Linked DNA regions of Ovis aries. The protein of the gene in region 2 purifies or fractionates together with the protein of the main gene of each other region. This does not show direct contact. Links are inferred from orthologs where the notes say so. Each region holds a gene or a part of one and is shown on either strand. Other genes may lie near its edges.

Region 1 (3,817 bases), on a different chromosome or scaffold from region 2:
GTTACTATAAAGAGTCTGTATTAAAAAAAAAAAAATCAATGCAAAAAAAAAAGTCAATGCATAGGGAATTCCCCGGCAGTCCAGTGGTTAGGACTCAGCACTTTCACCACTGGGGAGACCTGGGTTCAATCCCTGGTCAGGAAACTAAGATCCCACAAGCCATGTGGGAAAAAAGAGAAAGAAAGATAGAAAAAAAAAAATCAATGCATAGAAAATACAGTTTTAATAAGAAAGGGACATTCGGTAGAGACGTGAGAGGCACTGCCAGGCCCTCACTCTACCTCCATTTTCAAGTGTGGAGAGTCACACATGCCGTGAGGGACCCACACTGCGGCAGGTGCTGAGGTCCTCCGTGGCCCCCCTGCCCTCACCTCACAGCTGGTCCTCTTGCTCTCCACGCTCTGCCTCCGCTCTGGCCTCGGCCCGCAGGACCCTGAGGCTCCTGGCCTCGCCTGCCCTGGGCACTCTCTTGGGTAGCGTGGGCAACCGGGGAGTGTGCCAGAAGGCTCTCCGGCGCTTCCGAAACCATGAAAAGCGTCCGGGGGTCTGGAACCTCACTGTCTTGACTGGTTTCCGGGTCTGAGCTCCTGCAGTGGCCCCTGTGGCCCTTCCGGCAGCTGAGGAGTCAGCCTCCGGAACAGCCGGGGTCTCTGCCCTCTGATTACAGGCAGCTTCTGCCCTCTGGACCGATCCAGCTTCTTCCCCATCAGGTACAGCCTCTGCTCCCTGGACAACCGGGGCTTCTGCCCTCGGATCCTCTGCAGCTTCTGCCCTCGGGTCAGCCGGGGCCTCTGCCCCCTGGACAGGTATGGCCTCTGCCCCCTGGACAGCCAGGGCATCTGCTCTCTGATTATCCACAGCCTCTGCCTCCTGGACAGCTATGGGCCCTGCTCTCTGATTAGCTATAGCCTCCCCCCTCTGATTAGCTATAGCCTCCCCCCTCTGATTAGCTATAGCCTCCCCCCTCTGATTACCTATAGCCTCCACCCTCTGATTATCTACAGCCTCCCCCCTCTGATTAGCTATAGCCTCCCCCCTCTGATTAGCTACAGCCTCCCCCCTCTGATTACCTATAGCCTCCACCCTCTGATTATCTACAGCCTCCCCCCTCTGATTATCTGTGGCCTCCCCCCTCTGATTATTTGCAGCCTCCACCCTCTGCTCATTTGCAGCCTCTCCCCCCTGAGCTCTGGAAGCTGTTTCCTCTCTCCTGCGACGTCTGAAGGAAGCCCAGTTGATCTGGGGCCTCCATCGCCTTGGGGGGGTCTCAGCCACCCGCCCATCTCGTGCATTTCCCAGGTTACACCCCAGGCTGGCGCTGCCTGGCACCGATGCACTGTCCCTCTCCACCCCGGTAGAGGCCTGCCTGGCCTCGCCCACCCCGGGGCTGGACTTCGGTGTCCAGCCCTTCACCCTCCGCTTCAGCTTCCCCCAGGACACCTGGCTGACACACTCCCGCCACCTGTCCGCTTTGGACTGCTGGGGCCCTGGGCTGTCGTCAAACATGGGTACGGGCAGGTTCACCCGGCGGCGGGGAGGAGGCACGCTGGGTTTCTTCTCCCCTCGCCGGAGGAAGGCCTCCACCAGTTCCTCATCATCCTCGCTCTCCAGGTCGCTCCCGAGGAACTTGCTGCCCAGGTAACTGACGGGCATTTTGCGCACCTTCCTGCCACGGCCGGCGCCTTTGCGGCCCTTGTCAGCCTTGTTCCTGGAGGTCTCGAAATCGCTGAACTCGCTGTCACTGGCGTTACTGCTGTCATAAGTGCCCACGACCAGCCGGGGGGGTGGGGTCACCATCTGCTGGACTCTCCTCCTCACTCGGGGCTCCTTAGACTTTCTAGGGGGCTGGGGTGGATGCGGGGTGCTCTTCTCGATGATGCGGGCCACGTCCTCCAGGGTGCGGCCCTCTTCTTCCAGAAACTGGATCAGCCGTTCCCGAAATTCTGCCTCCTTGGTGGCCGGCTTGGAAATGACCCTCCAGACGCCCCCGGCCAGCCGGACCTCGCGGGGGATGAGCAGATAGTCCACATCTTCCCCAATCTGCAGCATGCCCACGGTGGAGTCCTCCTCCCGGCGGAACACCTTGCCGATTTTCTTAAAGGTCCCCACGGGCTTCAAAGCTTCGACGAGGACGTCCAGATCCACGTCTTTGCAGACGTCCGGGACGCTCCAAAGGATGAGGCAGTCGGGGGACGGGAGGAAGCCCCAGGGGAACCAGCCCCCCACATGGCTTTTCTCGAGCGTCTTTAAGATCTCCAGGGTGAAATCTGGGCTGGGGGCAATGAGCCCAAACTGCTCGTAGCCTCGAGTCTTGGGCGGGGAGAGGGGGGTAGGTTGCTCTCCCCGCAGCGCTGCCCTGAGAGTCTCACTTCCCACTTTCCTCTGCAACAAGTCCGGTCTCGATCCGCTCCCCGCGAAGGATTAGTGGGAATCAATTTCCAGGATGCTTACGTGAGCCGGGGTGAGGTCAGTTCTGAGGCTCCCAGCCCACTGCAAGCTGCAGACGCGGTGTCCCGGCTCCAACTGCGGGCGCACGGGCTGTCCGGTGGTTCTTCCTGTGCCACAGATGCGCCTGGAACTTGAGAGAGGACTTCGCAGACAAAGGCGGCTCAGCCTTGGCTATTCAATATGGCCGAGGCGCTCGGAGGCCGCGGCGCAGCTCCCCAGGAGGGTCTCCCACTCCTAGGCAGGCTTCCACCTCAGGCCAGGCTGACCTTGCCGCGCCTCCCGCCTCCCGGCCGAGGAGCGCGCGCGCGGGCAGGAAGTTCCTCCTCGCCGGCCCCCAGGATGGGGCCCACCTTCCCCCTTCTCATCTTACACTCCGGGACTCGGGAAGACTGACAGGGGGGCTGTCCACTCCCTTCGGGACGCCCTCATTCCCCTCCCCCACAGGGGTGTGGCCGCGCCCCGGGCCTCTCTGAGGCCCCGTCTTCCTAGCCGATCGCCCCGCGCCGAAGCGAAGCCCACGTCAGCAGCTTTCCCCGGGAAAGGCGGCCGTTCCCAAACCTGCCATCCCAAACGTGCGGGTTCCAGCCAAGCCCGGAAGGTGGGCGTGCAAATGGGGCAGTCCCTCTGAAACCCGTTGGCACGGTGTATTACTATTTTAAAATCACGTGACTTTTGGTATCCGCACTTCCTACCTATAGACCCAAACAGGTGGGTAGAGAACTTGGTACCAGCTCCAGGATGGAGCTTGGCACACAGTAGGTGCTCTAGAATACTTCTGAGTGAATGAATGAATGGTTGGATGGGATCACAGGCTTCAGTGGACAAGAGACTGAGCAAACTCCCGGAGATAGTGAAGGACACGGAAGCCTGGCTGTGCTGCAGTCCATGGGGTTGCAAAGAGTTGGACACAACTTAGCCACCAAACAACAGCAACCTGATCATCAGTAGAAACTCGGTTCTTTCAGTAAAATATTAGGCAGCTATGAAAAAAAAAGTAACTGAGGATAGTCACCTTTTATGGAGCACTGCTGCTGCTGCTGCTGCTGCTGCTAAGTCGCTTCAGTCGTGTCCGACTGTGCTACCCCATAGACGGCAGCCCACCAGGACTAGCTATGTATTAATACTAGACATCACTCTATTAATACAAATTAACTCATGAAATCTTCACCAAAGCATTATGAGACAGGTAATACGATGCTCATTCCCATTTTACAGCTGAGGGGAAAAAATCACTTGCTCAAGGTCACATGAGCAAGAAGAATGGGAACCTGGATTTGAATCTCAAATAATCTGACGTGTGTGTGTGTGTGGGGGGGGGGGCATGTTCACATGCATAGGCCAAATGGCATAGACAGGAGCATGTTCTCTT
Region 2 (3,717 bases):
TTAGAAGAAAAGCTATGACAAACCCAGACAGCCTATTAAAAAGGAGAGATATCACTTTGCCGACAAAGGTCCATCTAGTCAAGGCTATGGTTTTTCCAAGAGTCACGAATGAATGTGAGAGTTGGATCATAGATAAGGCTGAGCACTGAAGAATTGATGCTTTCCAACTGTGGTGCTACAGAAGACTCTTGAGAGTTGCTTGGACTGCAAGGAGATCAAAGCAGTCAATCCTAAAGGAAATCAACCCTGAATATTCACTGGAAGGGCTGATGCTGAAGCTGAAGCTCCACCTCGGGCACATGATGAGAAAAGACGACTCACCGGTTAAGACCCTGATGCTGGGAAAAACTGAGGGCAAGAGGAGAAGGGGATGGCCAAGGATGAGATGGCTGGATGGCATCACTGACTCAATGGACATGAGTTTGAGTAAGCGCCAGGAGAGAGTGAAGGACAGAGAAGTCTGGTGTGCTGCAGTCCATGGGGTCATAAAGAGCCAGACATGTCTTGGTAAGTGAACAACAGCAAGTTATTAGAGGGAACAGGAACTTTTTAAAATGAATTTTTATCAAATTAACATACAAATCAGCTAATTCTCATAATTAATGCTTTTTAATTGGGTTGGAAAATTTGAGAGCCATCCAAAAAAGCGCCTATTTAGACCAATATCTAAAGGGTGCTCCAAGTCTAATTTTGTGCTGAGCTATTTCTTTAACCAGGGGCTTGGCTTCCCAGATGGCAGTGGTAAAGAATCTGCCTGCCAATGCAGGAGACAAAGGTTCAATCCCTGGGTCAGGAAGATCCCCCGAAAGGAGGATATGGCAACCCACTCCAATATTCTTGCCTGGAAAATTCCATGGGCAGAGAAGTCTGGCAGGCTACAGTCCATGGGGTCACAAAGAGCTGGACACGACTGAGCAACTGAGCACACACACATCCCTTTAACTGGTTTCTCAAATATATCTGTTTCTCAAATACATCCAACTACGACTGTATCACTATAGAAAGAGATCCACTCAGATAAGTCAAAGAGAAATAGGACCTGTCAGCTGAAATATTTACTAAAACTATGAAAGATTTAAACCAGGCTAGTATTAATTCAGGTATCACCTCACTACACTGAGAACCTGAGAAATAAGAGAGATAATTGAAACCTGAAAGCATGATGGATGAAAAATTAAGAAGCAAATAGTCTCTCTTCTTTCAATAAATGAGCTTGAGCTTGCCAGGGATGGGAAAAGAGTGTTTTCAAAGGCTGACAAAGGAAACTGCCTTAGGAAACCAACTGCTGTCCCTTTTTCCCCACTTTCCAGGAGGATAAAACACAGGAATTATATCATCACAGACTCTCCAGCTAAGATACGCTAAACAGGCTCCAGCAAAGCAGGCCAGCTTGAGCACAAAGGGATCCCTTTTTACAGTGAGATTACAATGAGTCTCATGTATTTTCAACCACTTTATCTGTCTTCCTGGTTGAAGAACATATAATAGGAATCCAAGTCACAAAACCAGTAAACGCCTAGAGAAGTGAGATGTGACCTTCCAGGAGATTACACAGGAGAGACAAAATGTACAAACCACAACCAGAGGCTCGGCTCAGACTATGAGTGCGAAAAAGAACAGGAAGCACTCAGAGACTGTTAATTCTCTGATGCCAGGCACTATGGGTAAAGCTTTACACACGTTGTTTCTTTAATCTTAGAATTCTACGAGGTCAGTACTGTGATGGGACTCCTTTTTACAAATGAGGAAACTAAGGCACAATGCAGGTTAAGCTACCCGTTTAAGGTCACAGTGGGGAGCGGGTGGCAGGGTTAGAACTGGAACACAGACAGCCTGTATCCAGTCTAGCTCTCTCCCAGTTCAGGACACTGCTACGTGGAAAGGGCTCTTTCCACAGGAAAAGGACGATATCAGAGGAGCTGCTGGCTCGGAGAAGTTCCTTCCCAGGGATTATACCCACTGCCAGCAGGGTGAGGAGCCAGCAAACTGGAGGAAAATCAAAACAACACAAACCTTTATCCATAACTCTCCCCGCTGATCCCATTGGAAGAGAGAGTTCTGTAAGTCAGTTTTAAGACTAAATACTTGGCCTACAGTCAGGATAGTAAAATACTAAGTAGTGCTAAAATCGAGTCATCATGCAAAGAATTTCAATTAGAAACCTGTCTCCTTGTTTCTGGCTCAGAGAGTATCAAGAGGCACTTTACACACTGCAGAAAAGGATGTAAATTTCGAGGCAACCTCATCAGAAGGCACTTTGGCAATGTCCATCAACCTTCTGACCAAGCGGCATAAATGCTAGGAATTCATCCCGGGGATTGACAAGTTGCAGTGTGCACTGGAGCACTGTCTGTTAACAGTCCACAGAGAGAGAAAGCAACCTCAGTGCCCAGCGATGAGGAGACTGGTGAAGCAGACTGTCGTAGGCAGTGCTGGAATCCCAGGGAGAGGGAGCTGACACGGAATGCTCTCCAGGGTACGCTACTGAATAAAACCTTGGGCACAGAACAGTAGTTACACTACGACCTCATTTCAAAGATACACTCTTTTAGTGTATAAACGTACCCACCTATGCATTAAAATTTTCTAGATGGATATCTAAAAACTGTTAATAGTTTCTTCTATGGAGTAGGGCTGGGGGAAGGGAAGAGAAAGGAAATTACTTGCCACTTTATATCATTTTGAGCTACCTGAAATCTTTTTTAACCAGGCTGATTATATATATACACACACACACATATATATATATCAATATATACTGCCTGAACACATCTTTTAAAAATATATCAGAGATTTAATTTTCAAATTGCCTCTTCAAATATAACATTCATGTGTTTTTGTTAAATCGTACATCTTTCTATTTTTGTACCTTGTTTCCTTCGTACACCCATCCCAGACTCTTCACACCGAAAGCAGCCTGGTTGGCGGAGACGTCCAGACACGTGACCGGCTGCCCGTAGACGTAATGGAGGGTTCTGGCAGAGTCTTCAGCTTTTAGCAGGTATACAAGATCTCCAGCGGTGGCCACTGCCACCGGGTACCTTTCAGTGTCCGGAACTATTTCAAGGTAGTCAACCTGTTAAAGGATAAGGGTTGGTTAGTCCTTCAGGTTTCACCTACAATTCGTCCTGACTTGGTCACAAATGAACAATTCCTCCTGCATGTCAATGAGAAGATCAGCAACCCAACAGAAAAAGACAGGTCAAGGGATGGTTCACAGGAAGTGAAACACAGTTCCTACACAAATGAAATGATGCTCATCATAAAAGAAACACAGCATACTCCTAATAAGAGAAATGCAAAGTGAAAATTCACAAGGTTATTTGCTGCAGCCCTATTTGGTCACAGCTAAGAACCAGAAAACCCAGAACATGCCTCACTAAGGGACTAATTAAACAATCTACAGTACACCGATGTCCTGGAATACCATGCAGTCACAGAAAAAACCACTGACATTCTCTATAAACTCTTACAAACAGATCACTGCTAAGACAAACTTGGGGGGGAAAGCAAGGAAGCAAAGGAAGAGGACTTTACAGTGTGGCAAGGTGTGTAAAAGTGGCAGAGGAAGCCTGGGACACACTTGGCTTGTATGTGCGTAAATCTAACAGTGGCCACCTTCACGGAGAGAAATGAGTTGTGGGACAGAGCAGAAGGGAGATTCTTACTATAAACCAGATTGTATCTTTTAAATTCTGAACCACGAGGCTATAATAA
Region 3 (3,600 bases), on a different chromosome or scaffold from region 2:
CCATGCTTTTGCAGACTGCTAAAGCTATGCTGAGGTCTAGAAGCTGGGGGTTCAAGTAAAAGTGAATTTCAGTCCCTTCTGTCACTCCGATGAGTGCATTTCCAAAACTACGTGACCCCTGACTCCACTAACTTGGACTGTTTTAATGCCACTGCGCGAAGAGCAATTACACAGAGCAAATAAACACTTAACTGCAATTCCTCATTTGCACCCTCACCACTAACTCCAGCTGCGAACTGTGAGCAACGACAGTGATCCAATCCGAAAAGAGGATCCTATTTTTGGCAGAGAGCTCGCTAAAGGGAGAAAACCCTCAACTTTGGAGGATTAGGCTCAAGGAACGTTCACCATGCGTTTCTGCCCGGAACCACCAGCACTAGGCATACAGCACACGGGGGGCCAGAAGGGCGCGCGGGGCGACCCCTGCACGCGGCCGGCCGGCGCCCGGGTTACCTGCGGGGTCAGCGCGCGCTCCCGCCGGGTGCAGGGCCGGGGGCGCGCCGAGGCGGCGGCGCAGGCCCGGCCCGACTCGCGGGCGCTCGGCGGCCGCCGCGGAGGGGGGCGGGGGGGGCGCTCCGTCCGCTTCGGCCGCCGCACTCGCATCCCTGCGCGCCGCCCCGGGCCCGCTCCCCGAGGAGAACCGGGCAAAGGGGCGACTGTTACCCAATAATAGCGCCCTGCACAGTCGCAACAATGCGGGCGGGGAAACCCGGGAGCCGCGGGGCAGGGAACCGGAAAGCAGAGAGAGCCCGGCTCCGCGGCTCCTCCGGCGCGCAAGCCCAGTACTTTACTTGAGAGCACGAGTCGGGGGCAAGCGACGCTCGGGGGAGCGGTGGGTCCCCAGGGGGGCCGAGGGAAAGAGGGCGCGGGCTCGGGCACCCCTTGGTTGAGGTGGGGTGGTGGTCGCCGCCTGGAGAGAGGTGAGGCGCGCGCGCCCGACTGCCCCGGGGGCCGCTCGCCAGCCCGGCTCCGCGGCCCGAGGCGGGTCGCGCTGGGAAAGGGGCGGACGCCACCAGGCCGCCGCCTCGGGCGCGATGAATCGGGCCTTTTTTTTTTTTTTTCCCCAGTGCGTAGTCCGGGCCTGGGCCGCCCCGAGCCCGCGTCCGGGGCCGCGGCCCGCCAGGCCCGAGCCGGCCGGGGTGACTCAGGGCCGGACCCCGCGCGCGCGCGCGCGCGCTCCCCTCCCGCCCCCGGCGCCCTCTGCCCACGAGTGCCCCGGCCCCCGCCGCCATTCCGCCCGGTCGCGGCTCGGCGCCTCGGGCCTCTCGCCCGGCGCCTGAGCTCGGCCGCCGCGGCCCCAGTCACTGCGACACCGCGGCTCCGGGTCGGGCCTGCGCCGCCGCCGCCGCCTCCCCTCAGCCCCGGCGCCGCCGACAACTCACCCGCATTTCCCGGCTGCCTAAATGGCTCCGGCGACGTCTCCACCTGGTCGCTGGGCCCGGCCCCGGTTAAATCCCCGTCCCGCCAAGGTCTCGCCGCGTCCCTCAGCCGCCGGGGCTGCCCCGCCTGGAGCTGCGTGCGACACGGCTCCCGCCTCCTCCTCCTCCTCCTCCTCCCGGCCCGCCCGCCGGCCCTCCTCCCGCCGCCGCCGCCTGCACCACGCAACCTCCGCCCTCTCTCCTTCCCTTCGCCGCTCCCCGCCCTCCCGGCCTCACCGGCTCCGGCTCCCGCGGTGGAGAAGCTGGGGGGGGAGGGCCGGAACGCTCCGCCATCGGCGTCCGGGGCGGGGGAGCCGGGAAACCGTCGCCGCCATCTCCCCACCAGCCCCGCGGAGCGGGAGGGGCCCGAAAGCCCCCGCCCGCCGTGCCGCGGCCCCGAGTTCTCCCCACCCCGCCCGCCGCCCCGCGCCGCCGAGGCCCCGCTCGCGGGGCTGCTCTCTACCTGAAAGCCCCCGCGGGCCCCTGGCCATGGACGCCGCACCCTCCCCGGACGGGCGCACCGGATCCTCCTCCAGGTTTTACTGCCTCCCTGGCCTTGGGGGCCGCCTCTGAGGACCCGGCTTCCCGCCACTTTGGGCCGAACGAGGAGGGGGCGGGGGTGGTCACCTTCCTAGGTCGGGGCCCCAGCCTGAGGAGAAACCGGCCCGAAACACCCCGGAGCAGAGGGTCTTACACGCCGCCCTCCCCCGCTCCTGCGCGCACACACACTGAACCGACACGGATCACAACTACACCCGCTGGATCTACCTTCCCGGCGGGAGGATAACCAAAAGCCATACCCCGACCGGCTGATAAAAGTCAGAGATGGGCGAGTGGCCCTGAAAGGCAGGCGCAGCAGACTCCAGAGAAACGTGCCGTCCATTCTCTGAACCCCAGGACACCTGCGGCCTCGTGGATCGGCACCTCAAAGTCCCAGCTCCTCGGCGTCTCTCTGTCTCTCTCTCTCTCTAAAATTGGTTCGGAGATCAAACCAAATTAGCTTACCTCTTCAAACTCTCTAACCCACTCTTTTTTGAACAGAGGTCGACAAAGACACTTTACCATTAATCTCTGTAAAGATTAAGTGAAGAATGAAATTGAAGATCTTACATATATGGATGGGATGAGTGAGGTATGACTATTGAATAGGACTGTTTTCACCAGTGCTGCGGAGTCGTTCGTCTCATTCATCTGAAATTAACTCACAAGTGGTTACCTGAAATACAAATTTGGGCAGCGCAAATGGCCACCTGGCTTCCTGTGGGGACACAGGTGAGAAAGCTTGGACTTGAAGGGGCTTCTTCTCTAATCCCATGGTCCATGAACAGTTCAGCATGGAAAGATTTCAGGTTATCTGGGCCAAAGACTTGATGACTGTAACTTCCTGTTTTGCTCCAAAACTAAAACATTGAGTATCACCTTGGGGTGGAAATGCTAGGCCCAGAGCCTAGGGCTACTCCCACAGCCCTCACTGTTTCCTGAGGAATATGGATGTCTCTTAGAAGAAATATCTTAAGACATACTTGTATATGCGGTTCCTCCTATTGAAATGTGGCCTTCTGTCAACAACTCTTTATCTTTAAAAGTATGGCATTTGTCTGTACCTGTCACCAGAGTATGTGATCTCAGCCTATTTAAGGATTTTTAAATTCGTGCTTTATATCCTCAATGGACATGAGTTGGAGCAGACTCCGGGAGATGGTGAAGGACGGAGAAGCCTGGCGTGCTGCAGTCCATGCCGCTGCAAAGAGCTGGACAGGACTGAGCGGCAGAACAGCAACAAATATCCTATACTTCTAAATATTCAAAAGAAGCTTAGATGTATTTAACTTTCTCATGGGCACATGGGAGAATTGAAGGTAAAAATGGAAGGCTTGTACATATATATGTACACATATATGGGAGGCTGCACACATATGGTTTCTCTGAGACCCTCACTGCTGCGAGCTTTCCTCAGAGGACAGGTTAGCTCATCTCCCGTTTGTCTAACCTGTCCTCTGCCATTTCATCATCCAATATGGTCGTCCTGTCTGTGACTCCCCACAGCTAACACGTGAGCTGAGTGGGTCAACTTTCCCTTTGCTGTTTGTTTCTTCCAACGTCTGTTTTTCCCTAATGGGAGGATTTAGTTCATCTCTACCTTCCTCTCCACTTCTCATTGCCTCAGTTCCTAGTTCTTAAT

The links.
Region 1: the proteins of FBXW8 (region 2) and CCDC8 purify together in Homo sapiens (affinity purification with mass spectrometry; 3 studies listed by BioGRID and IntAct, with this or other methods). This does not show direct contact. The link is inferred for Ovis aries from reciprocal best matches to the Homo sapiens genes FBXW8 and CCDC8.
Region 3: the proteins of FBXW8 (region 2) and CUL1 purify together in Homo sapiens (affinity purification with western blotting; 9 studies listed by BioGRID and IntAct, with this or other methods). This does not show direct contact. The link is inferred for Ovis aries from reciprocal best matches to the Homo sapiens genes FBXW8 and CUL1.

The regions. Positions count from the first base shown.
Region 1 is NC_056067.1:53,468,959-53,472,775, reverse strand, and holds the start of CCDC8 (coiled-coil domain-containing protein 8), read right to left. Parts: upstream 2,737-3,817; 5' UTR 2,050-2,736; coding exon 373-2,049; 3' UTR 1-372. UniProt on the Homo sapiens protein: Core component of the 3M complex, a complex required to regulate microtubule dynamics and genome integrity. It is unclear how the 3M complex regulates microtubules, it could act by controlling the level of a microtubule stabilizer.
Region 2 is NC_056070.1:58,087,898-58,091,614, forward strand, and holds part of FBXW8 (F-box/WD repeat-containing protein 8), read right to left. Parts: intron 3,077-3,717; coding exon 2,870-3,076; intron 1-2,869. UniProt on the Homo sapiens protein: Substrate-recognition component of the Cul7-RING(FBXW8) ubiquitin ligase complex, which mediates the ubiquitination and subsequent proteasomal degradation of target proteins.
Region 3 is NC_056057.1:113,064,495-113,068,094, reverse strand, and holds the start of CUL1 (cullin-1), read right to left. Parts: upstream 2,365-3,600; 5' UTR 2,219-2,364; intron 1,963-2,218; exon of another isoform or gene 1,656-1,962; intron 1,509-1,655; exon of another isoform or gene 1,383-1,508; intron 1-1,382. UniProt on the Homo sapiens protein: Core component of multiple cullin-RING-based SCF (SKP1-CUL1-F-box protein) E3 ubiquitin-protein ligase complexes, which mediate the ubiquitination of proteins involved in cell cycle progression, signal transduction and transcription.